Ovis aries: one gene and its partner. The protein of the gene in region 1 binds, or shares a complex with, the protein of each later gene. Links are inferred from orthologs where the notes say so. Each region holds a gene or a part of one and is shown in the gene's direction. Other genes may lie near its edges. The genes, in order: DNAAF10 and ASDURF.

Region 1 (16,375 bases):
ATGAGCCCACTATACTATCTGGCTCAGCTGGTAGTACTCCAGTACCAATGCATACTCAGACAACACTGAGCGGGAACTGAGCAAAACCCAGAGTACAGGGAGGCGAGCAAACGCCTGCTGAAAGGCTGACTGAGGGTGGAGGGGGAGGCGGGGGACGAAACAGTACAAGTCTTCCTCTTTCACAGGAGAAAATCAACAGTGAATCTGAAAAAAAGAAAAATGAAGCTGGTATATAGAGATATTTGGAGATACAGAGATAAATAACGTTTAAAATTTAGCTAGAAGAGCTCAGTTTGAAGACTTGAAATTTCCTCCCTCGGAGGTGGAAATGGAAGTAGACAGTGGCAAGTTTAAGCATGTGTATATATAACTTTGACAAAAATAAAACTGTAAAAGTCAGGCACGAAAGATGAGGAAATAGAGAAGCAAAAACACATACAGGGTGAGTAGTTTAGCTACTAAAACAAAGCTTCAGGGCAGTAGTTGGAATGGGATGTATATAGGTCTCCAGAACATAGGCAGTACTCTTTCCCATTCGATATACTGAATGTATCTGGAACAAATGGATGTTAGTTTTATATCGTGTTCACATTCTACTCTGCCAGGTTTTCAGCAACTCATCAAAAAGAACATTTACGGGTGCATAGCAGTCCATCTTATTACTATGTCATAATTAACATGAGTTGCCGAACACATGCATTTCCAATTAGCCTACCTACAGTAAAAACTGCAGGACAGTATATCTCTTTGCTGGTACTTGGCACTTGAAAAAAACCTACTGCTAACCACCAACAAACCGGAGAAACTTGAACCCACATGCTATCTAAAAACAGTCATGCACTAAAGACTACATACTGGGTATTTTTAACCTACATGAATTGCAAGAAAAGGCAAAACCCTAGTGACAGGAAGGAGATGAGCGACGGCCTGGGAATCGGGAGGGGTTGCAAAGATGCACAGGGAAGTTTTGGGGTGACACAGCTGAGTGTGGAGGGATCACAGGACTATATAGACTATTTGCCAGAATCTCACTAAATTACACCTAAAACAGGTGACTTTATCTGAATGAAAATCATACTGTAATACAGCTATTTAAAAAATGAATTTGACAAGGAAATTTTAAGCCAAGCCTTAGAAATAATACTTGGTGGTGGTTTGTCTCTAAGTTGTGTCTGACTCTTGGACCCCATGGACTAGCCTGCCAGGCTCCTGTCCATGTGATTCTCCAGGCAAGAATACTGGAGTGGGTTGTCATTTCCTTCTCCAGGGGATCTTCCCGGCCCAGGAAGCAAACCCAGGTCTCCTGCATTGTAGGCAAATTCTTTACTAAGTAAGTTATGAGGGAAGCTTTTATAAATTATAAACTTAATATTATGTCCTAACAATAATTAGAATTACAGCAAATCAGTTACATTTTAAAACTTCTAAATTAAAAAACTATTAGGACTGTATATGATATTTTAAAGTATAGTACACACTTCAAAATTACTGAAATTTCTAGTTCAAGAGAGCTTTTCCCATGACTCTGGAGCCCCATCTCCAGGCTCAAGTCGTGAAACGTCAACACTGTAACACACTTACCTTCAGGTAAACAGGGCCACCAATGCAGTGTTAACAGTTTTCTACTTAAGTATAAAAAATAGTCTAAAATTTAGATTTGAAAATAATAGTGAGCCCCTCAGCTCAGAGCAAAGATGAGATGACTTTAAATAAAATTATTTCTGGATTTAGTAGCAGGCAGATCCCTCCTCTTCACAGTCAACTGCTTCGTTTCCCAACTTCTCGGCACTGTATAATCTCTGCGCCATCTGCCAGTAACCCCAAGCTGGTAAAGGGGCGGCTTCATCCGCAGGCAGAGAAGGGTAATCCCAGCTTCACTTCCTGCACCCTTATTTTAAGCCCATATCATCTTACTGATGTTCATATATAACTGCTCTGTAGTTTTCCCAACAATGTGCAACACTCATCTTCCCTTTATGAAAGGCCTTTATATATTCGTGCATGCACATGTGTATATATACATTTATGTTTTTATTTTTTTATTGAAGGATAATTGCTATATAGAATTTTGTTGTTTTCTGTCAAACCTCAACATCAGTCAGCCATAGGTATACATATATCTCCTCCTTTTTGAACCTCCCTCCCATTTGCCTCCCCATCCCACCCCTCTAGGTTGATACAGAGCCCCTGTTAGAGTCTCCTGAGCCATACAGCAAATTCCCACTGACTATCTATTTTACACATGGTAATGTAAGTTTCCATGTTACTCTTTCCATACATCTCACCTTGTCCTCCCCTCTCCCCACGTCCATAAGCCTATTCTCTTTTTAAAGTAAAGACTCATAATGGCACTGAACCCGCATACTTCTTGCTCTCCTCTGCTGATTTAATCGGCTCCCGTGATACTATTTAAATATTCCCGTCATGTAATTTAACAGTGATTCTCAACATTTCCTTCATTGCAAACTGAGAAAAAAGCTATAATATCTAAGATTTTTCTCAACTAAATCTGCTCTCAGTGTAGCTAACTGTTCAGCCAAAAGCATATCCTCACAAAGATTTAGAAGTTACGTCATGCATAAATACAATCTAAATCACTTCTTGAAACCATCAAAAGACCAAATGTAAATTATGACAATAGTTTTCTCAAGACTACATACTTACACATCAGCTAAAACTATCCGTGTCCGGGTCACGTTCTCGATGGTGAATTTGGTTTTTCCTCCTTTGCCAGCAATTCTGCCTATTGCCCTGGACAGGTGGTCTCCCTTTAAAGGTTTAACTAAATGAGAAAAGCAAGACCTCAGGAAGGAAGCCATTCCAGCATTACCCACTTCCACAGGAGTTTAATCATTAGCCAAATTTCCCTCCTAAAAGACACAAAACATGCATTTTTTTAAAAGCTGCTAAGAATACGGCTCAACTGATGCTACCGGAAAGCTGAGAGTCATGCAGAATACAAAGTCAGCAGTAAGAAAGTACCATCCAGGAATTCATACAAAAAGACCACCATACACTCACCATCTGTAATTTCAAAGGACTCTAGAAAGAGGTCATCCAGTCTAATAAGGGCAAGTGCATCCTACAATACAGAAATACATACTGTGAAGTGCTTCCATTCAAGTACCTGTGTGAGTGAGTGAGTGTTAAGCTAACTCATAAATTGTAAAACTAGAACACTCAAATTAAAAAACAAACAAAAAATGCCCAAATCTATCACAACATTCATGTGGAGTGTTTTCTGAGCTCCCCATTTCAGCTATCATGAAATCACTCACCTCCACCTGAAACCCAAGAATGAAGGCTTTCACAAAATCAGCTGCTTTTGTCAGAGCGCTAACATCTTTAGTTTCTTTACAAGTCTGTTTAAAAAAAAAAAAAAGGTGGGGTAAGAGGCACAAATTATAGCTGGAAATGAAAACGGCAACATTCTAGCAAACTACTAGGACTGACCTTTCCCATTACTGTAATTTCCTTCACCATCACCCTTCCCAATAAATTCTCTGTGACCCAGTTTTTGGTGAGGTAAGTACTGTGTTTAGTTTTCAAAACAAAACTTTGCTAGCTCCAGGGTTGGGCAGTTCCCCTTCAAATACTGTCAAAAGACCGACTGGACTCCATGGCTGATCTGACTCTGGAGCTACTGGCAAGATTCCTCCACTCACTCCCATTCTGAAGTACCTCCATCCTCAGTTCATTTCCATCCAAGCTGGTCCTCTTCAGTGCCATCTCCCTGGGAGTCCAGGTCTAACCTCCCGACTTCAACCACCATTCCTGTGCTGATGTTGCCTTCCCAAAGCAACAACTCTAGTACTAACTACCAAGAACGGTTTAGGCAATGATCCTGCCCTCAAAGATTTTATTTGATAATCACAGAAATAGGTGCTCTTCATAAAATGCCCACCCCTGTAAATGACACGAACTGCAAAGATGCTTGACAACACTATAACTCTGATCTTCTTGTCAACCTAAATTTAAGCAAGATAAATACTTTTACATTAGAGGAAACTCAAGCACCATAATGAAAAAGTAAAATCTGAACCCGGATCTGATTCCAAAACCATGAGTTCTCTTCCACACAGACTCACAGTTGAGTCGAGGAGGCTGTGTTTGTATTTGGCAACTTTGAAACCATGCAGGGTTGTGTAACAGCACATTTAAAACTACAGATCCCAGTCCCAATTCCATATGTGACCTTAGGCACGTCTCATGAATGCTCTAAGTCTTAAGTTTTCTCATCTGTAAAATAAATTGGAACAGAAGAGCCTGAGAGGTCCCTACCAGCACTGATGACTTTGCCCAAGATACTCCTTGGCCAGTTTCCTCACATCTATTAGATGGGGTATGTTATCTACCTCACAGGGCTGTTCTCAAGACCAAAATGATGTAATGCCTGCCAAAGCGCCACTCTGTGTCTGGTACAGAGCAATATCAACAAACATCAGAGGAGTCCAAACTGATGGTGCTGCAATACATAATCAAGAGACTCTGACAACTTCTTTATTAAGCCTTTTATCAGTCAGCAAAACATAAGTTTAAGCCCTGAAGACTAGACTGAAAAAAATGGACTGGCAGTAAAGGAGAAAGAACTTGAGCTAGATTCTGAAAGATGATGAAACTGAAGTAGGAAGGAAAAGGAAGTAGGGAGGACAAGGTCTTCACAGAGCATAAGGAGGGACAAGAAAAATGTTCAAAGCAATGGTAAGAGGACTTGGGAATGAGATTCCTAATTTAAAGTCAAATTCAAATATTTTTATCTTTCAGAGATACTGTAGATATCAAGATATCAATAAAAGAAGTGTGGTCTGGGAAAATTAATCTGGCTCTGGCAAGAAGGATGGAGAAGCGAAATGAGATTTAAAGATATTAAAGAAAGCAAACTTATAAGCAAACAAGTTCTGGCAGAAAACCATAAAAACCTAAATGAAACTGACAGTGAGAACAAGGAGAAATTCTGTCAAGTTCTGTATTTTAAACTCTGCCAACTATTTAGGACAGTGCCTCTCTGCTTTGCTCCATTATTCTAACCCCTCAACAGAAATAAGTCTATAACAACCCTGATAATGAATCCTTAAAATGGAAGATATAATTAATTTTGGTCACTGATTCGAATGCACAATTGGAATCCACAGGAAAAAAAACCCCATCTATTAATTTTAATTGTCCACCTCCTAGACTGACATCATGGAATGAATAAACAAATATTTTTACGTAATTTACACTTACTCTCAAAACTTATTTTTTCCTAAAAAGTAACACTAAAATATAGTATCTGTACTACAGCAAGTACTTCGGCTGCTCATTTACATACTTCTATTGACGATAACCTCTTTATTAACCCTTTAATCAATCAACACAGAACACTTTAAAATGTGCTGAAACGCAGCTGGTAGTTTAGTTTAGTTTCAGGTCAAACTGGAAGAAACTCATTCAACAAGGTAAGTCCCACTAAGAATTCCTAGAAAGTCTGTTCTTTCTTCCTAGGACAGAAAAACCTCGGCATATTTTAAAGTGGTTAATAGTCTCCTTACTCTGATTTCAACATTCCTCGATTTCAAGTTAAAGCGTATCTGAAGTCCCAAATGCTCCACAATAGGAGTAAATATCTTCAGCCAGTTCTCTTTTAGTGGCGTGTATCTGTTAGCTGGGACTGGAATTTTCCTGGTTTCTTCTTTCCCATTCTACGACAAAAGAAAACACAACTCAGCAGTTGTTTAAAGGAATGAGGGTGAAGTTGTAACGACAACTGATCCTCAAAAAGCCTCCTTTAATTGGACAGATTAAACACCAGGAGAGTCGCCGCTCTGAGCTTCACTCCAGAAAAAGCGTCATCACCCAGAGGCCACCGGGCCGACCCGTCTCTGGCCCCAGCCCCGTTCCTGTTCCTCGGTCCCAGCCAGTACCAGGAACCCGTCCCCGGAGAGGGGCGGGAAGACGGGCCTCTTAGCGGGTCGAGCTTCCTCGGTGTCCATGCAGGTCGCGTCGCCTCCCTCCTCCGGCGTGGACGGCTGCTCAGCCTGCCGTTTCTTCGCCCGCCGGCCACCTTTGCGGGTGACCTGACTGAAGCCGTCCTCGGCCAACGGGCTCTGTGCCTCCATCACGCTTTCCATTCTCCAGAGCCTCCAGCCCCAACCTCAGCTTCCAGCTTCAACACGTGCGAGGCTGTACCGCGCAGGCGCGCCTCACAGGCCCCCAACCTCCGCCAACCAGCCCCAGGGCTCCGCCCTCTTTCCTAAGACGTCCCATGCGGGGGACCTAAAGCGGGAGTTTCTGCGTGTTTGTTGGTGAGGAGGGAGGGCTGTCCTAAAATATGCCTGATTCTTAGGTTCGCCCTCTGCCCACACCTCTCGCAGTCAGCGCGCTTTATAACCCATAATCTGTATCTGTACGAAAGGCACTAGGTAAAGCCATAACAAGTTTGTGTTGTTGGGGAAGGAAACTCTTGTGGGCCTGCACTAGAGCATCCGGCATTATCTGAGAAACCTAAAACTGCTTGTTAGGTTTCTAGGGGCGCCTACGGCAGGCGGGAGGGACAAACTATCCGTAACGTTTGGACTCTGGTTTCCAGGTTTGTTTCGTCAGGGTTTGTTGGCTGTGTCCCGCTTGGCGGAGGCGAAATCTCTCGGCTGGACCATGTCGGCCTTTGAGAAGCCTCAGATCATCTCGCATATCCAGAAGAGCCTCAATTACACGGTGTTTGACTGTAAGTGGATGCCCTGCAGCGCCAAATTTGTGACCATGGGCAACTTCGCACGGGGCACCGGCGTCATTCAGCTGTACGAGATCCAGCAAGGGGACCTAAAGCTGCTGCGGGAGGTGGGTGCCGGGTCGAGACCTCCCAGTTCCAAAATCTGGGACTGCTCCTGGAGGGGAGTGCGGATCTTGGGGGCGGGAGTTCTGCGTTCCTTTTTGCCAAAGCCTTTGTCCAGCGTCCCCCCAAAGCGGTGCTGAAACTGCGCGGGAGTAGCGAATCTGACCGCAGACTGAGGAATAATTCCGACGTAAAACGCTTTCGTTCGAGACCTGAATTCTCATCGGGCTAATTCATTCCTGCTTTGCTGGTCCCTTCCTCCAGCCATCCCCACCCTTCTCCCAGTCCAGTGCGAGGTCCCTGGAGGTGACGTTATAACTTCACGTTTAAATTCGAGGCGTTTCTGGGCAGTGCGCATTTGTTTGTGGAGAGTCTTTTTTTCTTTTTATTTTTTGAATGTTATTTTTAATATAAATTTATTTATTTTAATTAGAGGCTAATTACTTTACAATATTGTATTGGTTTTGCCATACATCAACATGAATCCGCCACGGGTGTACACGTGTTCCCCATCCTGAACCCCCCTCCCACCTCCCTCCCCGTACCATCCCTCTCGGTCATCCCAGTGCACTAGCCCCAAGCATCCTGTATCATGCATGGAACCTGGACTGGCGATTCGTTTCATATATGATATTATACATCTTTCAATGCCATTCTCCCAAATCATCCCACCCTCTCCCTCTCCCACAGAGTCCAAAAGACTGTTCTATACATCTGTGTCTCTTGCTGTCTCGCATACAGAGTTATCGTTACCATCTTTCTAAATTCCATATATATGCGTTAGTATACTGTATTGATGTTTTTCTTTCCGGCTTACTTCACTGTGTATAATAGGCTCCAGTTTCATCCACCTTATCAGAACTGATTCAAATGTATTCTTTTTAATGGCTGAGTAATACTCCATTGTGTATATGTACCACAGCTTTCTTATCCATTCATCTGCTGATGGACATCTAGGTTGCTTCCATGTCCTGGCTATTATAAACAGTGCTGCGATGAACATTGGGGTACACGTGTCTCTTTCAATTCTGGTTTCCTCGGTGTGTATGCCCAGCAGTGGGATTGCTGGGTCATAAGGCAGTTCTTGGAGAAGGCAGTGGCACCCCGCTCCAGTACTCTTGCCTGGAAAATCCCATGGGTGGAGAAGCCTGGAAGGCTGCAGTCCATGGGGTCGAGAAGTGTGGGACACAACTGAGCGACTTCCCTTTCACTTTTCACTTTCATGCATTGGAGAAGGAAATGGCAACCCACTCCAGTGTTCTTGCCTGGAGAATCCCAGGGATGGGGGAGCCTGGTGGGCTTCCATCTATGGGGTCACACAGAGTTGGACACGACTGAAGCGACTTAGCAGTACCAGAAGGCAGTTCTATTTCCAGTTTTTTAAGGAATCTCCACACTGTTCTCCATAGTGGCTGTACTAGTTTGCATTCCCACCAACAGTGTAAGAGGGTTCCCTTTTCTCCACACCTTCTCCAGCATTTATTGCTTATAGACTTTTGGATCGCAGCCATTCTGACTGGCGTGAAATGGTACCTCATTGTGGTTTTGATTTACATTTCTCTGATAATGAGTGATGTTGAGCATCTTTTCATGTGTTTGTTAGCCATCTGTATGTCTTCTTTGGAAAAATGTCTGTTTAGTTCTTTGGCCCATTTTTTGATTGGGTCGTTTATTTTTCTGGAATTGAGCTGCAAGAGTTGCTTGTATATTTTTGAGATTAGTTCTTTATCTGTGGAGAGTCTTTTAATGGGTCCAAGATAGTAAAATACTTGGTCATACAAGCAGAGCCAAAGCAGGCACTAGGATGCCTACTATGTAATTGGAGGAGACAATCCAAAACAATTATTCTTTCAACAAGTGTCAGTTGATTGCCTGGTATTCTCCAGCTAGTAAATGACAGACAATGTCCCTGATTACTATGGAGTTTTTTTTTCCTAGTGGGAGAGAGAATCAATTAAATAATCAAACTAACAATACATAAAACACAAACTGAGATGAATTCTCTAATGTAAAGGCACATGGTTCTATGAGAGTAAAAACAAAACCAGAAAACCAGATTTGCATTGAGTAAAAGCTAAGTAGGTCAAATTAGGAGTTGAGATTTCCAAGAGGAAACAGCTCAGCAATGAGGGAGAGAGATTATCTCCTTTTGGAACAAAACAGCAGAGAGGAGGCCTTGCAAATGCTGTAGATCATTTAAAAGATTTGTGCCTGTTTTTGTAAGAAAAATGGGACTTCAGTGAAGGGCTTTATGCAGGGTGTGGCAAGGTTAGGTTTACAAGTTTTGTAAAGATTACACTAATGGAAGAATTGGAGAATAAGGATATTAACTAACATTTTTATATCTGTTTACTAGTTTTTAAATGCCTTTAGAGCACTCCAGGACTCTTGCCTGGAAAATCCCATGGACGGAGGAGCCTGGTAGGCTGCAGTCCATGGGGTCGCTGGGAGTCGGACACGACTGAGTGACTTCATTTTCACTTTTCACTTTCATGCATTGGAGAAGGAAATGGCAACCCACTCCAGTGTTCTTGCCTGGAGAATCCCAGGGACAGGGGAATCTGTTGGGCTGCCGTCTGTGGGGTCGCACAGAGTCGGACACGACTGAAGTGATTTAGCAGCAGCAGCAGCAGCAAAAAAAAAAAAAAAAAGATCAGTTATACTCAGATGTTAGCACTGTCATAGACTACAGGGAAGTTTGTAACTCCAGGGACCAAAAACTATGGAGAGAATCTGCTTGGAGGAGTTAGGGCCTCAACTGATAGGCAAAGGATGCATACACTTTCTCTAGGAAAGCTTAGATTAGAAAGTATGTAAGGCCTCATCCCATTTTAAATTTCTATAAATGCTACTTTTCTTGTTCAGATTGTCTTTGCTGGCCAGGCAGGCACTCTGCTCCTAAGCAAGGCATGTTCTTTCCTACCTTTCCTTATGTTTTTCATCATTTAGCCCCTAGTCACCTGTTGCTATTCTAAGATCCAGTTCAGATTATTTGACTATTGACATCTCATTCCTGATCCCCACATAAAGTAACTTTTCTTTATTGCTTTCCTATGGTACATAAGTACCATTATTATCTGTGCTAGAAATATATCCTTCTGTCCCATGTATCTCTAATTAGATTATAAACTCCCAGAGAGTAAGGACAGATCTTTCTTTAGTGTGGTATAAAAGGAGCAGCCACTCAATAAGTGACTTGTTAAAAGAATGAGTGAATTTATGTCTGTAAAAGAATATAACTTGGAACATTTAAATATTGACTTATTAATCACTAATTGATTGAGGCCAGGAGTTTGAACACGTAGGAAACATTGAAATTGGAGAAAGAAAATGGTGAACTATTAGGAATAAATACTAGTCAAAACTCAACCAGAGTTGAGTTTTGTGACATGTTTTTAGTAGGGCTTTATGACTTGTGTACATTTCATGAATACACTTATTTTGTAAAGAGAAATTGTGTTCTTTGTCTCTTCTAGAATTCTGGAAGAGTCTAGCAGTATTTTTTTTTGAATAATTTTGCTTTTTAACTAAAGTAATGTATGTTCATGATAGAATATACCAAAAATATAGATAGGGAAAAGAAGTGAATTGATGTCACCCACCTCGACACTAGGAGTATCCACTTTTTATATCTTCACCTGTATCCTTTGAGTCTTCTCTTTCTCTACCATAAATTTTCCATTGAGAACCTATCATTTCAAGGTACTATGATAAAGAAGGACCAAAGTTATTTGAAAGACGAGTCCTTCCTCCTAAACAACCTACTGCCTAAAGTGAGGGTAAAACAAATGCACAAACAGATTTAAGAGCTTACATTGTATTTGGCTGTGATGATGCCGTGGAAAAGAATATAGGTTAAGGACAGTCCCAGTGATTCTCAGCTCTTACTGTGCTCCAGGAGCATCTGAATGTGTATCATTACTGTTGTTTTGGGTGTACTTGGGTGTACGTGTTTTAAAATATTCATGCCTTGGTTCCACCCCTGGAAACTGATGCACTGGGACTCTTTCTTGCCTCTAGACGAGTTTGAGTCCCAGAGGTCAGTATCTTTTAAACTTCCAACAGATGATTCTAATGAGTAGTAGGGTTGACTGTCTTCATTGTTTAGTCACTAAGTTGTGTCTTATCCTTTTGCGACTCCATGAACTGCAGCCTGCCAGGCTCCTTCTGTCCATGGGGTTTCCCAGGCAAAAATACTGGAGTGAATTGCCATTTCCTCCTCCAGGGGCTCTTTCTCACCCAGGGATCAAACCTGAGCTTCCTGCATTGGCAGGCAGGTTCTTTACCACTGAGCCGCTTAGGTACCTTTCAGTTCAGTTCAGTTCAGTTCAGTCGCTCAGTCGTGTCCGACTCTTTGCAACCCCATGAACCGCAGCACGCCAGGCCTCCCTGTCCATCACCATCTCCCGGAGTTCACTCAGACTCATGTCCATCGAGTCCGTGATGCCATCCAGCCATCTCATCCTGGGTCGTCCCCTTCTCCTCCTGCCCCCAATCTCTCCCAGCATCAGGGTCTTTTCCAATGAGTCAACTCTTCACATGAGGTGGCCAAAGTACTGGAGCTTCAGCTTTAGCATCATTCCTTCCAAAGAAATCCCAGGGCTGATCTCCTTCAGAATGGACTGGTTAGATCTCCTTGCTGTCCAAGGGACCCTCAAGAGTCTTCTCCAAACCACAGTTCAAATGCATCAATTTGTCAACGCTCAGCGTTCTTCACAGTCCAACTCTCACATCCATACATGACCACAGGAAAAACCATAGCCTTGACTAGACGGACCTTAGTTGGCAAAGTAATGTCTCTGCTTTTGAATATACTATCTAGGTTGGTCATAACTTTTCTTCCAAGGAGTAAGCGTCTTTTAATTTCATGGCTGCAGTCACCATCTGCAGTGATTTTGGAGCCCAAAAAAATAAAGTCTGACACTGTTTCCACTGTTTCTCCATCTGTTTCCCATGAAGTGATGGGACCAGATGCCATGCTCTTCGTTTTCTGAATGTTGAGCTTTAAGCCAACTTTTTCACTCTCCTCTTTCACTTTCATCAAGAGGCTTTTAGCTCCTCTTCACTTTCTGCCATAAGGGTGGTGTCATCTGTGTATCTGAGGTTATTGATATTTCTCCTGGCAATCTTGATTCCAGCTTGTGTTTCTTCCAGTCCAGCGTTTCTCATGATGTATTCTGCATATAAGTTAAATAAGCAGGGTGACAATATACAGCCTTGATGTACTTCTTTTCCTATTTGGAACCAGTCTGTTGTTCCATGTCCATTTCTAACTGTTGCTTCCTGGCCTGCATACAGATTTCTCAAGAGGCAGGTCAGGTGGTCTGGTATTCCCATCTCTTTCAGAATTTTCCACAGTTTATTGTGATCCACACAGTCAAAGGCTTTCGCATAGTCAATGAAGCAGAAATAGATGATTTTCTGGAACTCTCTTGCTTTTTCGATGATCTAGTGGATGTTGGCAATTTGATCTCTGGTTCCTCTGCCTTTTCTAGGTACCTTTGGAGCTTCCCAAATGCATTTTCCTTTCTTTTCTCTCTTTTTCCCTCTTCTAAAGCTAAGTTAGTTTCTAGCTATCATTGTGCTAGTTGAATTATTAGTTAAAAAATTAGGAAACATCAAATATTAGGAAACTTGATTTTATCCTTGTAGAACTACTTCAGCCTTGTGCTCCAGAGTCCGTGGGTGCAGGATAAAAAGGAAGGAAGAAAATGAGTCTTTGTTGGTGCCTCCTTATTACTAATCAGATAGATAGGGAATGAAGGCAGGGTCTTCGTATACAATTGAGTAGTTTGTTAAACTGCACACAGGTATCTGGCCAAGGGTTCAAGTGAAGGCTGAAATCCATCTCTCTCCAGCTTTTCCCCTCCTGTGTGAAACTTCCATCAGCCTGTAAAGGGCGCCTTCCACCCCCCCCCCCCCCCCCCCCCCCCCCCCCCCCCCCGACTTGGCCCAAAGGACTAGGGGTGGCCCTGAAAAGTGCCACATTTGGGGATGTTTACACTTTAAAAATTAGTAATAATCTAATAAAGTTCTGCTCTCTTAGCCCCTGTGCCACTGAATTCACTGCTTGTTAACATTTGGTTGACTAAACCTTTTAATGTTAATTAAGTAGTGCCAGGATGTGGAGGAGGAAATACTGACAAGCTGTACTAGACCCACCCACAGATAGAACAAAAATAGCTCTGCTGGGAATTATTGATCATGGGCTTCCTTAATCATCTTAACTTAGAGCAAAGAGAACCAACAACTGGGGGTCAAATATGTCTGTCATCCACTGTCATTTTCAGTATCATAGCGAAAGTTAATACATTCTAATTTACTTTATGGAACACATTTTGCAAAATAGATCTCCATTTTTTTTTTTAAACCAGTTTTCTAGCAGGAAAACTTAAGTGTCCCCTGAATTCTTTTCATCTTTTCTTTTCCAAAGGTAAAACATTTAACAGGGACAAGGAGGGGTCCCTCTTATGAACTATTAAAAAGAAAAATTAACTTTACTCCAATGTCCTTTCTTAATTTAGCTAATTAACCTAGCTCAGCCTTTGAGCAAAGCGCAGCCCTCCCTGCTGTGCAGATAACAAGATGTTTACACATTTGAGTTTATTTTTCAGTATGGTTCTGTATTTTGAGTTTAATTTGATTATTGATCTTTAATTTGATTCTTTAAACATCATTTGCAACAGACTACTAGTTAAATCTTTGATATAAGAATATATGGCTATCCTTTGATAAAAGGATGCAAGAATAAAAAAATAACAGGAAGCATAAATATCATGTTTACATTTTATGAAGACATAAAATGAAGGTAGAAACCAAAGGACACAAATCTGAAAGTAGGTTTAAGTCAGGCCTTACTTACCTCACCAGTCTAGTTCAGGATTGGAGCATTTCTTTGGGACTTCTCAGGGCTCGGTTTTACAGAATGGGGGCTACATAGGAAATGTTTATTTAACTGATTTACATATAGTCCTGGAGACAGCGTAGTGTAGTAGAAAGAGCTTGGGATCTACCTGACTGTAGGAATCTTTTGAACCTGCTTGTCATCTGGAAAGGGGTGTGCCAAACACTTAGTTTGCAGTGGCATGTGTTAGAAAGAGAAGGGATGGACTAGCACAGAAGGACATCAGAGCAGTATCTGATACATTGGTGTTCCATATACGGATGCTGTTTTTATTATTGCATATAAAATGACACCAAAAACTGTGGTCTGTCAGGTGCAAATACGGCGGAGAAAAGGGAACATGACCTCCAGCAGTGGTTTCCCTCTCTCCAGCACTGGGACTGAGAAGTTAATCCATGTTCATTTATACTTTCATTTAACAAATGTTGAGCACCAATTAAGTGTTGTACAAGTTGCTGAGGGCCCCATTCCTGTGGTATTCATTCTAGGAAGGGAGGAAATAGATAACTGAGTGAATAAAAGAATTTTGTTGATAAGTGAAATAAGATTAAACAGGGCAAGTGATTGGGATCTGGGGGTTTCACTTAAGATTAGAGGGGTGGGGAGGATCTCTTAGAGGCGTTGGTTGACATTTAAGCTGAAATCATTGGTAGAAGACATGAGAGGAGGGAAGACCAGTCCAGGCAGTAGGAGAGTGAAGTCACTCAGTCGTGTCCGACTCTTTGCGACCCCATGGACTGTAGCCTACCAGGATCTTTTGTCCATAGAATTTTCCAGGCAAGAGTGCTGGAGTGGGTTGCCATTTCCTTCTCCAGGGGATCTTCCCAATCCAGGGATCGAACCCAGGTCTCCTACTTTGCGGGCAGACACTTTACCATGTGAGCCACCTGGGAAGGCCTAGTCCAGGCAGTGGGAACAGCAAATGCAAATACCCTGAGGCCGCAGGACTGGTGAGCCTGGATAATAAAAATGCAGCCGCAGGTGTGGCTGGAGTGTGAAAGGAGAGAAGCAGGAAATGAGGTCAGAGAGACCTGCAAGGTCAGCCTTCAGAGGGCTTCGTACATTTATATACCACAGGCCTTGGTGCCACTCCTATGGGTCTGTGCCTCTAAATGTAGATACATTTTTATCTCATTTCATTCATTATTTGCAATAAACTCCTCTTTTAGAATCCATGTGATGATACATGTTAAATTATCTAGTATAGGCCCCACCGCGTACTAATATTAGAGTAGTTCTCAGGTTGTTTTCTCCTAAGGTAGGAATTCTCAGATGTGTTCAGGTGTCAGTACATCTGGCCATTGTGGTGTGGTTTTTAGAACAACATGAAATATTGTAATAATCAGGTCCACCTCTGCACAAGCACACGTTTTCCCAGTAGAAAAAAATACATGTACTCTGAGTATATATATTATATATACTTTGATATTTGCATCACAAGAAGTAACCATACATAAACATTTTAATCCTCATTTCCAGGTTTTCTTGATGTTTATTCGCTGGTATTTCCTAGCAGACAAACTAAAAAAGTTATTGAAGAAAACTTAAACCTGAGAAAAAATATCCATTAGTTCTGTGTGTGTGTGTGTGTGTGTGTGTGTGTGTGTGTGTGTGTATCTATCCGTGTATCTGTGAATTTATGTTAGCACTGGAAGATCAGTGGTTGCAGTTTTCTGGTTTCTCTATTCCACAGGGTCTAAAGGCAAAAGTTAGGTAAAGCTATAACGGAGGAAAACTTTGGCTTCCCAATTTTTTATTAGCAGCAGTAAACACTTAGAACTGTGTGCTTCCTACAGGGACTGAAAAGTAGGGGTCAACTTTTTTCTCTTCCATGACCTAGGAGGAAGAGAGACCCCATCAGAGACTCCTGGGGAAAGCAGTGGAATTATGGGAAACAGAATCTTTAGCTGGTGGAAGAGAAGACAGTGGGTGACCAGTCTTCCCAAGGCTATTTGGGGAAGAATTTTCCCAGAGAGTTTATCAATATACGGTGCAAGCCCTCCTGTAGTGCTGAGGTCCTTTAATGGACCGGAACCTGGTGGTCCGGAGTCGACCGATAAGAAAGTAAAGGAGAGAGAAAGAGGCTGATGTTCCTTGGTTTATGCAGGAAGCCAATGAAGCCCCTGCACGGGGCTTACTCTGTTCAAGAAGGCCTCAGGTGCCCTCTCAATGGAGAGAAGGCAGAGAGGGTCTTAGAAGCCCGGGCAGGAAAATGAACTCAAGAGAGCCTCTGTGCTCCAGGGGATCAGCCTGAAAAAGAGAGAGAGGGAGAGAAAGAAAGACACGGGAACCAGAGCTCTGATGGAGCAAAGCTGTTTTAATCAACATGATGTGGGCATATATACTGTCTTACAAGGTAGTTATTCTCAGCGAAGATAAAATATTAAAATTCCAGACTTACAAAACATAGGCGATCCATATTAAAGAGAGAGAGAGTTGTAAACAATCACTTTTACCATATGGTTCACAAGAAGGAAGAGGGTGCTTATCACTGTATAGGAAAACTAACGAAGGAAATGCTCTCCTCTTAATTCCTGAATACTCAGTAATTAATAAGGAACAGAGAATTCCTGACAGATTCAAAACAGCACACAGGAGGCCTCCTGTGAAATGCTTCCTGACACTGTAGTTCTTAATACCCAAGACCCTGGAAGCATATT
Region 2 (15,560 bases), on another chromosome or scaffold:
CATTGTTACCAATATGGAATAACTTAGCTAGGCATAAATTAGAAACAAAACCAAAATTTTTAAAAATCAGTAAAAAGACAAAACAGACAGTAATCTTAATTCTATAACCGCTTTGGATGTACTCTAAGAGCCAATAAAAGATATTCTTGGGTTTAAACAACTCATGAGGTGCACTTCCTTAGCCATAAAGTGTGACTCCATCACACAGGTTCACTTGGGTATCTTCATGAAAACTTAAGATATCCTATGTCAAAGTATACTTTTCAAAAACAGAAAATCATTTTTCCTGTACGAATATAAAATGAACATTTGTCAAAGTTTTGTTCAACTCATTAATTAATGAGGGAATAAGTAAGATTCTAAAACCAATTCAAAGAGTTTATGAGAAAGTAGACATATATTGGTGCTTTTGAACTGTGGTGTTGGAGAACACTCTTGAGAGTCCCTTGGACTGCAAGGAGATCCAACCAGTCAGTCCTAAAGGAAATCAGTCCTGAATATTCATTGGAAGGACTGATGCTGAGGCTGAAACTCCAACACTTTGGCCACCTAATGCGAAGAAATGACTTGTTGGAAAAGACCCTCATTCTGGGAAAGATTGAAGGCAGGAGGAGAAGGGGACAACAGAGGATGAGACGGTTGGATGGAATCACTGACTCGATGGACATGAGTTTGAACAAGCTCTGGGAGTTGGTGATGGACAGGGAAGCCTGGTGTGCTGCAGTCCATGAGGTTGCAAAGAGTTGGACATGATTGAGTGAACTGACTGAGACATATATTAATTTTAAAAATTAGGATAAGATTGCAGAGTTAGATGCAAAACTGATTAATATCTTGCAGAATATTAAATCACAGTTTGTGGGGTTATCTGGTCTAATAGATAGAAATTATTTTCATATCTACCAAAAATCTAGCAGTTACACCCCTCCACCCCTAACAGAATATAAATGAGCCCAGTCAATAAAAAATCATACCTAGAAAAGCTACGAAGGAACACCTTGATAGTCTCTTGCCTATTTCCAGGTTTCGGAAAATTATTCTCATAGGAGTGAGATATTGCAAATACTGCATGGGGCATATATACTAAAATTACATTCATTTATCTGAAATTCATATTTAACAGGGAATCCTGTATTTATCTTTTAACCCTAACAACAAACTAACATTAGCTTTATCAAGTCTGTACAGGGTCATTACCAACAGTGTATCTCTTAAATCTGTGTTTGGCTTCCATATTTTTGCCTGCTGCTGCTGCTGCTAAGTCACTTCAGTCCTGTCCCATTCTGTGCGACCCCATAAAGAGCAGCCCACCAGGCTCCCCGTCCCTGGGATTCTTCAGGCAGGAACACTAGAGTGGGTTGCCATTTCCTTCTCCAATGCGTGAGAGTAAAGTTGCTCAGTCGTGTCTGACCCTAAGCAACCCTATGGACTGTAGCCTACTAGACTCCTCCATCCATGGGATTTTCCAAGCAAGAGTACTGGAGTGGGGTGCCATTGCCTTCTCCGATATTTTTGCCTCAGTTCAGTTCAGTTCAGTCACTCAGTCATGTCCGACTCTTTGCAACCCCATGAACCTCCCTGTACATCACCAACTCCCGGAGTTCACTCAAACTCACGTCCATCGAGTCAGTGATGCCATCCAGCCATCTCATCCTCTGTCGTCCCCTTCTCCTCCTGCCCCCAATCCCTCCCAGCATCAGAGTCGTTTCCAATGAGTCACCTCTTCACATGAGGTGGCCAAAGTACTGGAGTTTAGCTTTAGCATCATTTCTTCCAAAGAACACCCAGGGCTGATCTCCGTTAGAATGGACTGGTTGGATCTCCTTGCAGTCCAAGGGACTCTCAAGAGTCTTCTCCAACACCACAGTTCAAAAGCATCAATTCTTCGGCACTCAGTCTTCTTCACAGTCCAACTCTCATATCCATACATGACCAATGGAAAAACCATAGCCTTGACTAGACAGACCTTTGATGGCAAAGTAATGTCTCTGCTTTTCAATATGCCATCTAAGTTGGTCATAACTTTTCTTCCAAGGAGTAAGTGTCTTTTAATTTCATGGCTGTGATCACCATCTGCAGTGATTTTAGAGCCCCCCAAAATAAAGTCTGACACTGTTTCCACTCTTTCCCCATCTATTTCCCATGAAGTGGGAAGTGATGGGACCAGATGCCATGATCTTCGTTTTCTGAATGTTGAGCTTTAAGCCAACTTTTTCACTGTCCTCTTTCACTTTCATCAAGAGGCTTTTGAGTTCCTCTTCACTTTCTGCCATAAGGGTGGTGTCATCTGCATATCTGAGGTTATTGATATTTCTCCCGGGAATCTATTCCAGCTTGTGCTTCTTCCAGTCCAGCATTTCTCATGATGTACTCTGCATAGAAGTTAAATAAGCAGGGTGACAATATACAGCCTTGATGTACTCCTTTTCCTATTTAGAACAAGTCTGTTGTTCCATGTCCAGTTCTAATTGTTGCTTCCTGACCTGCATATAGGTTTCTCAAGAGGCAGGTCAGGTGGTCTGTATTCCCATCTCTTGAAGAATTTTCCAGTTTACTGTGATCCACAGAGAGGCTTTGGCATAGTCAATAAAGCAGAAATAGATGGTTTCCTGGAACTCTCTTGTTTTTTCAGTGATCCAGCGGATGTTGGCAATTTGATCTCTGGTTCCTCTACCTTTTCTAATACCAGCTTGAACATCTGGAAGTTCACGGTTCATGTATTGCTGAAGCCTGGCTTGGAGAATTTTAAGCGTGTGAGATGAGTGCAATTGTGTGGTAATTTGAGCATTCTTTGGCATTGCCTTTCTTTGGGATTGGAATGAAAACTGACCTTTTCCAGTCCTGTGGCCACTGCTGAGTTCTCCAAATTTGCTGGCATATTAAGTGCATCACTTTCACAGCATCATCTTTCAGGATTTGAGATAGCTCAACTGGAATGCCATCACCTCCACTAGCTTTTTCGCAGTGATGCTTTCTAAGGCCCACTTGACTTCACATTCCAGGATGTCTGGCTCTAGGTGAGTGATCATACCATCGTGATAACCTTGGTTTTTTCCTAGATAATAAATATTAAGCGGTGTTTCTACTGAGCTTCTATTCTTCATAGTCACCACTAGGGGGCGCATATAATTTACAGTCTACTAGATGCCACAGGGTAAAGAGCGTTTCAACATCCCAACCGCTAGGGTCCGTTCGGGCCCCTAACTTGTGCGCACGCGCGCGAGTACTCCTAGCCCAGATCCGGCCTGCGCAGGCGTTCCAGTGAGCACGCAGACGCCGTTGATAGGACTCACCGGAAATTGAAAGGGAGGGGCTGGGCCGCGGGGAGCGCAGACGCGCAGGGGCTGCGGACGCGGAACTGCTGGGGTGCCGCCCGGCCTCGCGCCCTGCCTGTTTGCTTCTCCGCGGAGATGCCCAGCCGGGGTGAGCGACCCGAGGACGGCGCTGGGCCCGTCCCTGCTGAGAGCTCGACCCTGCACAAGGACGAGCTCAGCAGCAAGGTGAGTGCGGGACGAGGTAACATGGCCCTCGGGCTGCTCACCGCCGGAGACGAGCCTCGGTGGCCGCGTGCTCTAGTCTCGACTTTGCCCTGCTGCGAGAGGCACAGTTAAAGGGACACCTTGAAACTTGCCCCGAGATTAGACCCAGATGGTAGTAAGGCGGAAGTTTAGTTGGTTTTATTTTATCAATTTTTAACATATTTTAAAGTATCATACAGTAAAATTTGGCTCTTTTTCGTTTTCTCTGTATTTAACACGTGTCTAAATTTGTGTGACCACCGCCACAATTGGAATATAGACAAGTTCCACGACCCTGAAAGACTCCCTTTATAGGCATGCTCTCCCCCGCCCAGAACCTCTGGCCGTCCCTGATCTGCTCTACATCAGGACAGTTTTATCCTTCCCAGCACATCATGTAGTGAAATCACAGCTTATGCCTCTCCAAGCTTAATGTCTTTGAGATTCACGGTTGGATTTTTTTCTATGTATTCTTAGTTAAAACTTTTAGAAATTACCTCCCACCCTAGATCTGCTGCCTGCGGTCTCAGAAAATGTCAGCGCCATCCATGCAGTTGTCCATGCCAGTAACCTGGGAGCCCATCTTTGCATCCGTCACGAAGTTCTGTCCTTTGTAAGGTGTCCCTTTATCACTGTGTACACTTTTAACCATCTTAAACCCGCCCCTTGCATGTGCCATAGGGAATCCTGCAAAAGTTTCCTAACTGGTCTCTCCTTAGCCATTGTTGCCTTCTTCTCCCCTATCCTTCATTTAGCTGGAGCGGAGAAGGCAGTGGCACCCCACTCCAGTACTCTTACCTGGAAAATCCCATGGATGGAGGAGCCTGGTGGGCTGCAGTCCATGGGGTCGCTAAGAGTCAGACAGGACTGAGCAACTTCACTTTCACTTTTCACTTTAATGCATTGGAGAAGGAAATGGCAACCCACTCCAGCGTTCTTGCCTGGAGAATCCCAGGGATGGGGGAGCCTAGTGGGCTGCCGTCTCTGGGGTCTCACAGAGTCGGACACGACTGAAGCGACCTAGCAGTAGCAGCAGCAGCATGCTCCTAAAAATGTTATTTCATTGTTGCTCTTCTGCTCCTCCCCTCACAAAAGGGAGCCAATATAAGGCCATAAATGGAAAAAAGAAAAAAAATTTTTTTAACATTTGAAATGAGGATGGCTATAATCTTTCAGGTAATAGATGTCTAAGATAATACTTTGGTTCTGTCCCAAACTGACACTGGCATCTTGGGCACATCTCTGATTCCTCTGTTACAGTTTCCTTGTCTGAAGTTCTAAAGTATACCTACCATTCCTAAAATGAATGGGAAAGTGCTATTCAAACATAAGCCTTAAAAGGAAGTTGTACAAATTCAGTCTTGGAATTCAACTCAATCTCTGTAATCAGTCACTACAGTGACTGGCAGCTGGAAAGCAGAAGGGTACACATCTGTGGGGAATGAATTTTCAGACTGCACACAGCCTGCTCTGATTCCTACCATAGCATGCCCTTTACTCTTGCCTGGTGGGCTCCTCCATGGGGTTGCAAAGAGTCGGACACGACTAAGCGACTTCTTTCACTTTTCACTTTCATGCATTGGAGAAGGAAATGGCAACCCACTCCAGTGTTCTTGCCTGGAGAATCCCAGGGACGGCGGTGCCTGGTGGGCTGCCATCTCTGGGGTCGCACAGGATGGGACACGACTGAAGCGACTTAGCAGCAGCAGCATGCCACTTATACTGATGTATGACAGATCCCCAGGCATCAGAGGTTACAAAATAACACTGTTTAGAGGCTATGGTGACACTGTGTAATCAATCATGTTTGCAGTATCACTATCATTACTGAAAAGAGTTTAAAAGAAATTTAGTTTCCATTTAGTTGAGCCCTGCTACTGCTAAGTCACTTCAGTCGTGTCCGACTCGGTGCAACCCCATAGATGGCAGCCCACCAGGCTCCCCCATCCCTGGGGTTCTCCAGGCAAGAACACTGGAGTGGGTAGCTATTTCCTTCTCCAGTGCATGAAAGTGAAAAGTGAAAGTGAAGTCGTTCAGTCGTGGCCAACTCTTAGTGACCCCATGGACTGCAGCCTACCAGGCTCCTCTGTCCATGGGATTTTCCAGGCAAGAGTACGGGCTCTTATTGAGCATGCTTTGATAATCTCTGATTTAGTACGTTTTCTTTATTTCAATAGATTAAAGAACAAAAAGTTGTTGTGGATGAACTTTCTAACCTGAAGAAGAACAGGGTGAGTTATTAGCATTACTCTGAATACTATGTGGGAGGATTTGATATCAACTGTATAAATCTATGTATTAATCATAGTTGCTGATAATCTTTCCCCAACATATGCAATTGACATTACCTGCGAATCAAATGATACTGATTGTACTATGTTATCCTGGAGCTTTAGTCAATAATGGTATTTATTTTGTACTTGAATTTGGTGTATTCTTTTGACATAAACATTGAATCTGTTGAGAAGAGGAGAAGCTATACAAGTGAATGTGGATAATTATTTTTTGTTTGTTTATTTTTTAAAAAAGATAAATGCTACCACCTCCTCTCCCTACCTCCTCAGGTTTTTACTCCAAGCTTCCAAATCCTTAACGTGGTTATTTAACTCCATTTTCATTAATGTATTTATAGATAAGCAAGCTTCTGCTTAGTGTGTCATTATACTGCCAAACATTGTGTTTTAAAGTTAAGAAATGATTTGAGCCCTTTAAAGCTTTTAAAGGTTACTGGATAACAGACAGGTTAGACATTTCTCATATGTGGAGTAGCAGTTAAGCTACAGTTGATAAACTTTGTATAAGGCAGATTGGCGAAATGTATCAGTCTTAAAGCTGTGTAATATTTTGATCTAGCAAATCCAGTTTGATTCCTATTTATAGGAATTGATACATTAGGAAAGTATCATGGAGTACACAGAAATTTAGTTACAAAGACATTCATCACAAGTTTGATTTATAATAGTAAAAAGTTGGCAACATCTAAATGACCAGATAAACTATAATATTACTGACGAAAAATGATATTAAGTATATTCAGAGAAAAAAAAGTTTTACCTCAGTGTTAATGGTAGCAGTTTCTAGATAGTTGGATAATGGGTGAGTTCTTTGTTTATCTTTATTTGCCAAGGTATCGTTCTGAACATGTTACTAAAGTTCAATACTAAGTAATAATAGGGTTCAGAGTTTTGACATCTACCTTTTAGATCAAATCATGATATTAGCCTAAATTATGTTTTGCAGAAAGTATATAGGCAGCAACAGAACAGCAACATATTCTTTCTTGCAGACCGAACAGAAATGCTTTCTGAAAGCAAAAGTAAGTTTTTTTGGCACATTATACAGAAACAAAAAGAAATTCTTTTGTGGGCTTTCTGTGGAAATTCATGATGGTGGCTAAATTATACTGTCTACAGCTGAATGTATAAATATATATATCTAAAGATTGGATGGTGGTGTACTAGTTAATAAAATTAGTGGAATGGTTTGGTTTTCTTCAAGTTAGCCTTCTAATGCTGAGTTAACAGTAACAATAAAATCAAATTTAAGAACTATAAGATGTGTTGGAAAGCCACAATAATTAATGTAAGCTTTGGAATTTTAGTCAGATATAGGTATGAAAGATTATTCTACCAATTTCCGCCTTTTTGATTTTGAGTGAATCACTTTGAGCCTGCCAAGTCTTACGGAATTTAAATAAAATGATATGTGTATAAACTGTGCATAGCCCAATGCCTGGGTCAAAATAAGCATTTAACAGCAGAAACTAGATTCCTAAATAATAAACATTCTTCATCAGAAGTCTGTTGTAAATTATTATTGAAACTGGCACAGTACATATGTGGTTCAATCTTGGAAAAATAGCTTGTTTTGCCTTTTAATTACTAGGTAAAGCTTCAAGAATTTTTATTCTTTACTGTGTCTTCTCCCCTCTCCCACAGACATATTGGATGAGCTGAAGAAAGAATATCAAGAAATAGAAAACTCAGAGAAGACCAAAATCAAGAAATAGCCAACTTGATTTTACATAGCAATGTGTGGCATTTGTTGTGCAGTAAGCTTTTCTGTTGAGCATTTTAGCAGAGGTTTGAAAGAGGATTTACTGTGTAATCTTAAACGACGGGGGCCCAATAGTAGTAAACAGTTACTAAGGTCCAGTGTTAACTACCAGTGTTTATTCTCTGGCCACGTCCTTCACTTAAGAGGTGTATTGACTGCCCAGCCTGTGGAAGATGAAAGAGGCAATGTATTCCTGTGGAATGGAGAAGTCTTTAGTGGGATCAAGGTTGAAGCCGAAGAGAATGATACTCAAATCATGTTTCATTATCTTTGCTCTTGCAAGAATGAATCTGATATTTTGTCGCTCTTCTCAAAAGTCCAAGGTCCTTGGTCTTTTATATATTATCAAGCATCTAGCCATTCTTTATGGTTTGGTAGGGACTTTTTTGGTCGTCGTAGCTTGCTTTGGCATTTTAGTAACTTGGGCAAAAGTTTCTGCCTCTCTTCAGTTGGCACCCAGGCATCTGGAGTGGCCGATCAGTGGCAGGAGGTTCCAGCATCTGGAATTTTCAGAATTGATCTCAAATCTGTTTCCATTTCCCAGTCTGTCGTTTTAAAGTTGTATCCTTGGAAATACAATTCTGGGGGGGATGATATCAGAGAATGTGTTAATAGCCTGACTGAGATTTCAGCAGACTTGCCAACATTTGTCTTGGTGGCAGTAAATGAAGCCAAACTGTATCTTAAAGAACCTGTTGTCCCTTTAAATAAGGCGTTGCCGCAAGCTGCATTTGAGACCCATTGCAGCAGCATTTCCAGGAGTCCACTGACAAGAGAGACCCTTCGGGTCTTTCTTACTGATGGACACACGAAGGAAGTAGTTGAGCAGTTCATTGGTGTCCTGAGCATCGCAGTCAAGAGACGTGTCTTGTGTTTACCTAGGAATGAAAACCTGGCACCAAGCGACGTTTTGAAAACTAATAACAGGAAAGCAAATGTCGCAATTCTGTTTTCTGGAGGGATTGATTCCATGGTCATCGCAGCCCTTGCTGACCATCATATTCCTTTAGATGAACCAATTGATCTTCTTAATGTGGCTTTCATGACTAAAGAAAAGACTGTACCAGTTAATTTTAACAAAAAAGGGAGAAAACAGAAAAATCATTGTGAAATACCCTCTGAAGAATTCTCCAAAAGTGCTGCTGCTGCTGCTGCTGCTGCTGCTGCTGCTGCTGCTGCTGCTGCTGCTGCTGCCGCTGCCGCCAGCCCGGGTGAACAGTTCAATGTACCAGATCGAGTCACAGGAAGAGCAGGACTGAAGGAACTGCAAGCTGCCAACCCTTCACGGATTTGGAATTTTGTTGAAATTAATGTTTCTCTAGAAGAACTGCAAAGATTAAGAAGAACTCGAATATCGCACTTAATCCAGCCCTTGGATACAGTCCTGGATGATAGCATTGGCTGTGCAGTCTGGTTTGCTTCCCGAGGAGCTGGCTGGTTAGTGACCCAGGATGGAGCACAGCCGTATCAGAGCAGTGCAAAGGTATGGCACAGCTGCTCAGAATTTCTGAGACCTAATTTTGACCCTTAAAGCTTTTAACGCAAGTTGCAAGAATATAGCGTCTTTTAATTGCATTTAAACTACCACACAAAGTATATGACTTTGTAAAAACTGGGCATACTTCACTATCTTATGTCTGCCTTGTAGATTTTTTCTGAAAATGTTATCTTTGGGGTTATTACTTTTTTAAGCTTTTGCTTTCCTTACTGCATGGTAGGCAATATTGTGACATAGATTTCTCTCAACCTTTGTAGGTAGTTCTTACTGGGATTGGTGCGGATGAGCAGCTTGCGGGTTATTCTCGTCATCGGGTCCGCTTCCTGGCACATGGGCTGGAAGGACTGAATAAGGAAATCGAAATGGAACTGGGTCGAATTTCCTCTAGAAATCTTGGTCGTGATGATAGAGTTATCAGTGATCATGGAAAAGAAGCAAGGTAATTCTTGTCTGTTGCAGGGTTGTTCGGTAATTTTGTGAAAGCGGTGGACTGAACCTAAAAAGGAGACTTGTAGGTCCCTTTTTCTTTGGATACTTGTCCCGGTGAGTAACAGGAGCAGCAGTATCTTGGCTTTGTATTACAGTTAGTCAGAAGCAGTGATGGAGAGGAGCCAGAGGAACAGTGTTTCCAGAACTCATTCTCCAAGAAATGGCTTTACAGTAATTTTCAAAGGTGGTACAATGATGTGATTAAAGGCTACAGTGAAAGATTGTAAAACTTGAGGTAGTGAAATACTGAGGGGAGGTATTTCAAGGGCTCTGTTTTGTTTCAAATGTTTGCTTTCTTCCCAGGCTTCCTCCTCCAGTGTTACAGAGCCTGACTCTGTAGACATTTCTTGTATGTACAGGCGTACTTGGAAATCCTGCATGCTCAGTTCCAGACCATTGCAACAAAGCAAGTCAAACGAATTTTTTGGTTTTCCAGTGCATACAAAACCTATCTTTATACTATGCTGTAGTTTATTGAGTATGCAGCCGCATGCTTTTATGTTTGCTGTATTTAGATGTAAATATGTATTTAGTATTTAAAATATGTATTTATGTATTTTGATATAAGTAAACATAACATTTGTCTAAATTTTTATATATATACCTTAATTTAAAACTACAAAAAGCAATCTCAGTGATAACATCAAAGATTATTTATGTTATCACATATCACCATAAGAAATATAATTGTTTCTGTTGTTGTTTAGTCGCTAAATCATGTCCAACTCTTTTTGCAACCCCATAGTCGCTCGCCAGTGTTCTCTGCCAAAGGGATTTCTCAGGCAACAATAATGGAGTGGGTTGCCACCATTTCTTCTCCAGGGATCTTCCTGACCCAGGGATTGAACCCAGGTCTCCTGTACTGGCAGGCAGATTTTATACCACTGAGCCACAAGGGAAGCCCAACAGATATAACAAGAAAAATGTGAAATATGGAAGCATTTCCAAAAACGTCACCCAGAAACATGAAGTGAGCAAATGCTGTTGGAAAAATGGCACCACTGATAGACTTGGCTCGTCACAGGGTTGCCACAAACTTTTAGTTTGTTAAGGAAAAAAAAAAAAAGAGCAGTCTCAATGAAGCGCAATAAAACAAGATCCATACTGATTTAAACGGTGGTTCCAGTACTGGAGTCCCCTCTATCATAGGTGTTTTGAACACAATTTAGTCATAAACATTCCAAGTTATCTTAATAGTTTCAGAGATCAAGGCATTTACATGTGTATATTCTTTTTTAATCTTAGGGATTTGTGTTTACCTACAACATGTTTCTGATGATAGTAAACAAATGCTTGAATACAACTTTTTGAAGCATTAAGGAAAAAGATGTGTCGTTGAATTATAGAAAGCAGAAGTTTGTTCAAGTAGGTTAATTTATTAAGTGGTAGTTTTATTGCAGGGGTACAAGCATGCAAGGAGTCCAAATGAGCTTTGTGGGAGTTGGAACATCATAATATACCAGCTCTGGGACATCATTGTTTCTTGTCTCTACTTTGTTATTCCCATGTTGCCAGTTCTGACATTTAAAATTAACATAATTTTCAAAATTCTATCATAAAGAAATAAGTAACACCACAATACAAAGTGTATAAAATGTTTTCCTTTTGAAGTGTATCTGTATATGAGAGATAATTCAGCCCACTTCAGCTAAGTTAGAGAAAAGAGAATTTATTTTATTCAGTAAAAGCAGTTAATTCTAAAAGACCCCCCGCCACCCCGCCATATGATACTCATGGATAAAAATGGATATGAAGAATGTTTCAAACAGCTAATGCAGAATTGTAGTTGAACTAAACCAGTTTATTATGGATTTGGGCATACATATTAACCATATTCTGTTAATTAGTTTCTCGTCTAAATTTGCTTTCACAATTCATTTTTATAAAATATTCTGTTTAAAGAATGCCTTTACCCTTTCCCATCTCTCTGCTTAAGCTAAAGTGAAATATAAAACACTAGTATAATTGCGGATGGGGGAGGGATTCAAGTATTTTAAACAAACAACAGAATTTGCTAGGAAATTAGGGGAACCTAAAGAGCAGAGAGTTGTATTCCTTAAGTTCAGTTTCTTTAGACATGTAAAGAGCAGACACAGGTTGACTTATCAACTCAAGACCATGCTTATTTTCAAGGCATTCCTGAAGATACCTTATGAAACAATTTGAAATTATTTCTTGACATCATAGGCTTAATTTATTTTATTTATTGAGGGAAAAATTTTTTACATTTTAGAATGTGTATTACAGTTAGACAAGTGTTGTGAAATAGTTTTTAACGTGATTAAATCTTAGCTGTAAAGTTATGTAAATAGAATATTTTTAATTTAGAAAAATTGTGCCTTCAATAATTAATTTATACCTTAAATTTTAACATATTGAATAAAATACAAACAATCACAAGAGATAACTTTTTTAAATTGTGGTTATACTTTTTATTTTAGATTTCCTTTCCTGGATGAAAATGTTGTCTCCTTTCTAAATTCCCTGCCAGTCTGGGAAAAGGCAAACTTGACTTTACCCCGTGGAATTGGTGAAAAACTAATTTTGCGTCTTGCAGCAGTGGAACTTGGTCTAACAGCCTCTGCTCTTCTGCCAAAGCGGGCCATGCAGTTTGGATCCAGAATTGCAAAAATGGAAAAGAATAATGAAAAGGCATCTGATAAATGTGGAAGGCTCCAAATCATCTCCTTAGAAAACCTTTCTGTTGAAAACTAGATGTTTCATAGTGTAACAACATTTACTGAATGGTGGTTTTTTAAAAAAAAAATAAAATACTCTGCTGCTTTATTATTGCATAATGTGTTTTTAAAGTTCATTACATGAATTTTTATATAACTTTGTAGAGTAGTGCAACCAATTTAATCAAATTGATACTCCAGAGAAAGAGATTACACTTGAAAGAACAACCTGGATATTTTAAACTGTGATATTAATATTGTTTTGAACTCTTACATGGTTATGTCCCACCAGCGTCACTGAAAAAAGGCAGCTTTTATGGACTCTCTTCATGGTAGCTACATCCAGAAATACTAGTATAAGTCAATTTGTTATTCTTTAACAGACGAGAGAACTAAGGCTTTTGAGGTTCACACTCCTGAGTGATGTGTGGTACATCTCTTTAGACAGCTCACGGCCCTGCTCCGAGAACTTTTGAAGACTATTTTGAATATTCTCCTGTCCCACAGATCTCTAATGTCCCTCTGTTTTCCCATTGTCAGTTCATGACCTGGGCGTTTCACAGAGAAATCAAAATCAAGCCAAGGACGACTTGGTTTTCCAAAACCAAAAGTCCTAATTTACCTGTGTGTGCACCCATCCTTTTCTCCCTTCTTGCTATTAGAGAAATGTATTTAAAATGTTCTAATATATACCAATTTAAAATGCATATCCCTGGTCCCACATCTTCCATCTCTTGCCTCCCATTCACCTTCACCCTTTCAACCTTTTTACCTATTTACTGAAGTTCACTCCAACCAGACTTCCACCCACAGTATTCATTCGTGACCATGATACCAAGGTCACATTTGGCATCCATCCCCACTTAGGGCTGACACCCTTTCTAGGTCTGGACATACTGTGGTTCTCCTAAGTATAGTGGGAAAGAAAGGATACTAGCAGGCGTGTGTCAGGGCTTTCCAGCTGGCTCTAGTGGTAAAGAACTTGCCTGCCAATGCAGGAAATGTAAGAGACATGAGTTTGATCCCTGTCAGGAAGCTCCCCTGGAGGAGGGCATGGCAACCCACTCAACAGTATTGCCTAGAGATTCCCATGCACAGAGGAGCCTGGTGGGCTACAGTCCATAGAGTCACACAGTTGGACACAACTGAAGCAACTTAGCACAAGCATGTGTCAAAAGATCTTCACACGCCCTGAATTTATTTCCCATCAAATGCAGTGTTCAAACGAGATTCAGATATTAACTGAATAGCTTTAAACTGGATGACTTCATGGTCCTGAGCACTAAATTGATGCTCCTAATGGGAGTAGATGAAGTTTGCCCTGCACCCCAGAGTTCAATGTAATGATTTTTATAACTATAGTTCAATACTAAAGATGCCAGGCACTAGTCTGAATTTTACATGTATTAATTTAATCAACTGAATCTCTGAAGGGAATCTCTAGTTCACTTGTTCTGGCAGGATGCTCTGTGCATGTCTTTTGTTTGTTTGTTTTTTTTGGTTTTTGTTCCGTCCCCAAAGGGCCTGATTTTTTACAACTTTTTTGATACCTAACCCCATAAACTGGAATGAAATTCTGTTAATCCTTCAAACAAAGCAAAAGTCTTTCCCAAGATCCCACATAAAACAAACTATCTGCATACCTGAACAAAACCTTTTAGGTAAAGAAATTTACGTTACTCATACTTCATAAGTGCAAACATGCAATTCCTAAAGAAGACCGTGGTTTGACATCCCTTGCCCTGGGAAAGCAATAACAAATTTACTAATACTGCCACCACAGCAGCTAAAATAATGACATGGTTGGACTAAGAAATTCTACCTTCAAACAGTTAAGCAAAACCCTGCTGCTGCTGCTAAGTCGCTTCAGTCGTGCCTGACTCTGTGCGACCCCATAGACAGCAGCCCACCAGGCTCCTCCGCCCACGGGACCCTAGGCAAGAACACGGGAGTGGGTTGCCATTTCCTTCTCCAATGCATGCATGCATGCATGCTGTGTCACTTCGGTCATGTCTGACTCTGTGCGATCCCACAGACAGCAGCCCACCAGGCTCCATCCCTGGGATTCACCAGGCAAAAACACGAGTGGGTTGCCATTTCCTTCTCCCACCAAAACCCCCTCTGTTGCTAAATTCAGTGAAAGGTTTGGGTTCTCATCGCCCTTGACCTGGAGCAGCATCCAGTGAAGTTGGCTTCTATGACCACACTTGGTTTCTGCTCTCCTGGCGGCTCGCTGTTGGTATTCTTTCCTGCCTCCACCCTCTCCACATGACCTTTAAATAATTAAATCCCTCAGGTCTCCATCCTGGGTTCTCAAGTCTCTATTCTCTTTCATGGTGATTCCAGCCATTTCCCTGGCTTCATTTACCCTAAGCCAGCCCGAGTGTATTCGTGTAGCCCAAGCTGCTGCTTTTAACTCAGACCTTTGTATCTTAGGCACATCTGACACCTCTGCTTGGTTCTCTCACAGGTAAAACTGAACTCTTAATCTTGCCCTGATCCTGCATGTCTGACAAACTTAGGTGTCGCTACATGACCACCGTCTTTTTAAACTTTCCCACTACTCGATCTGTTGCCAATCAGCTCTCCTTACTTCTCAAGCGCCCCTACTCAAGCCTGTACCTACCTACCCTCTACTGCCACAAATCAAGCCCATACTCTTGGGATAAAGTTCAGAATCTTTAGCCCTCACCTACCTCCTCATCATATTTTTGTGTCCACGTCTTTCTTGTTCTCCATACAGAGTTTTGTTCCATTGCTCAAAAATTGAACTTTTTTCTCATCTCAGTTGCTCGTCACCTGTTGTTCCCTATCCTCGGAAAGCTGCTTCTCCAACTCTCTGCGTGGATAGATCTTTATCAGGCTCAGCTTAAAAGATCACTTCCTCAGGGCAGCCTTTCCCAGCCCTGGTCTTAGTTAGCATTCCTTCACATGCTGTTATGACATCATACACTTACGGCATTGTTTAAATACAGCTGTGTGCTTATTGGAGGAACTAACCTTGGGGCTTTACCTCTGCCTTTTCCAGGGTCTCCAGTGCCTAGCTCATAACCAGCGTTCTGTAAGTGTTTATTGAAGGAAAGAATGATGGTAGAGGAGGGATTCCAATTCAGGACTACCTCAGAGCCTGGTGCCTTGCCAACGCCACACTTCTGTGCTTCCTTGGAGTCAAACTGTCAAAGTAAGAAATGATAGAGATGGTGGTTCACCTGGTGAAGAATCCGCGTGCAATGCAGGAGACCCAGGCTAGATTCCTAGGTCGGGAAAATCCCCTGGAGAAGGACTAGGCTACTGACTCCAGTATTCTTGGGCTTCCCTGGG

The links.
Region 2: DNAAF10 (region 1) and ASDURF share a complex: the UniProt entries of both Homo sapiens proteins name them as parts of the PAQosome complex. The link is inferred for Ovis aries from reciprocal best matches to the Homo sapiens genes DNAAF10 and ASDURF.

What each region holds. Positions count from the first base shown.
Region 1 is NC_056056.1:40,159,383-40,175,757, forward strand, and holds the start of DNAAF10 (dynein axonemal assembly factor 10), read left to right. Parts: upstream 1-6,534; 5' UTR 6,535-6,633; coding exon 6,634-6,816; intron 6,817-16,375. Other genes in the region: RNA-binding protein PNO1, read right to left, coding at 2,665-2,782, 3,022-3,082, 3,279-3,362, 5,532-5,681, 5,904-6,110. UniProt on the Homo sapiens protein: Key assembly factor specifically required for the stability of axonemal dynein heavy chains in cytoplasm.
Region 2 is NC_056055.1:119,666,691-119,682,250, reverse strand, and holds ASDURF (ASNSD1 upstream open reading frame protein), read left to right. Parts: upstream 1-3,331; 5' UTR 3,332-3,410; coding exon 3,411-3,500; intron 3,501-5,695; coding exon 5,696-5,749; intron 5,750-6,758; coding exon 6,759-6,834; intron 6,835-7,456; coding exon 7,457-7,527; 3' UTR 7,528-7,548; coding exon of another isoform or gene 7,549-9,057; 3' UTR 9,058-9,329; coding exon of another isoform or gene 9,330-9,511; 3' UTR 9,512-12,002; coding exon of another isoform or gene 12,003-12,276; 3' UTR 12,277-12,348; downstream 12,349-15,560. Other genes in the region: ASNSD1 (asparagine synthetase domain-containing protein 1), read left to right, coding at 7,549-9,057, 9,330-9,511, 12,003-12,276.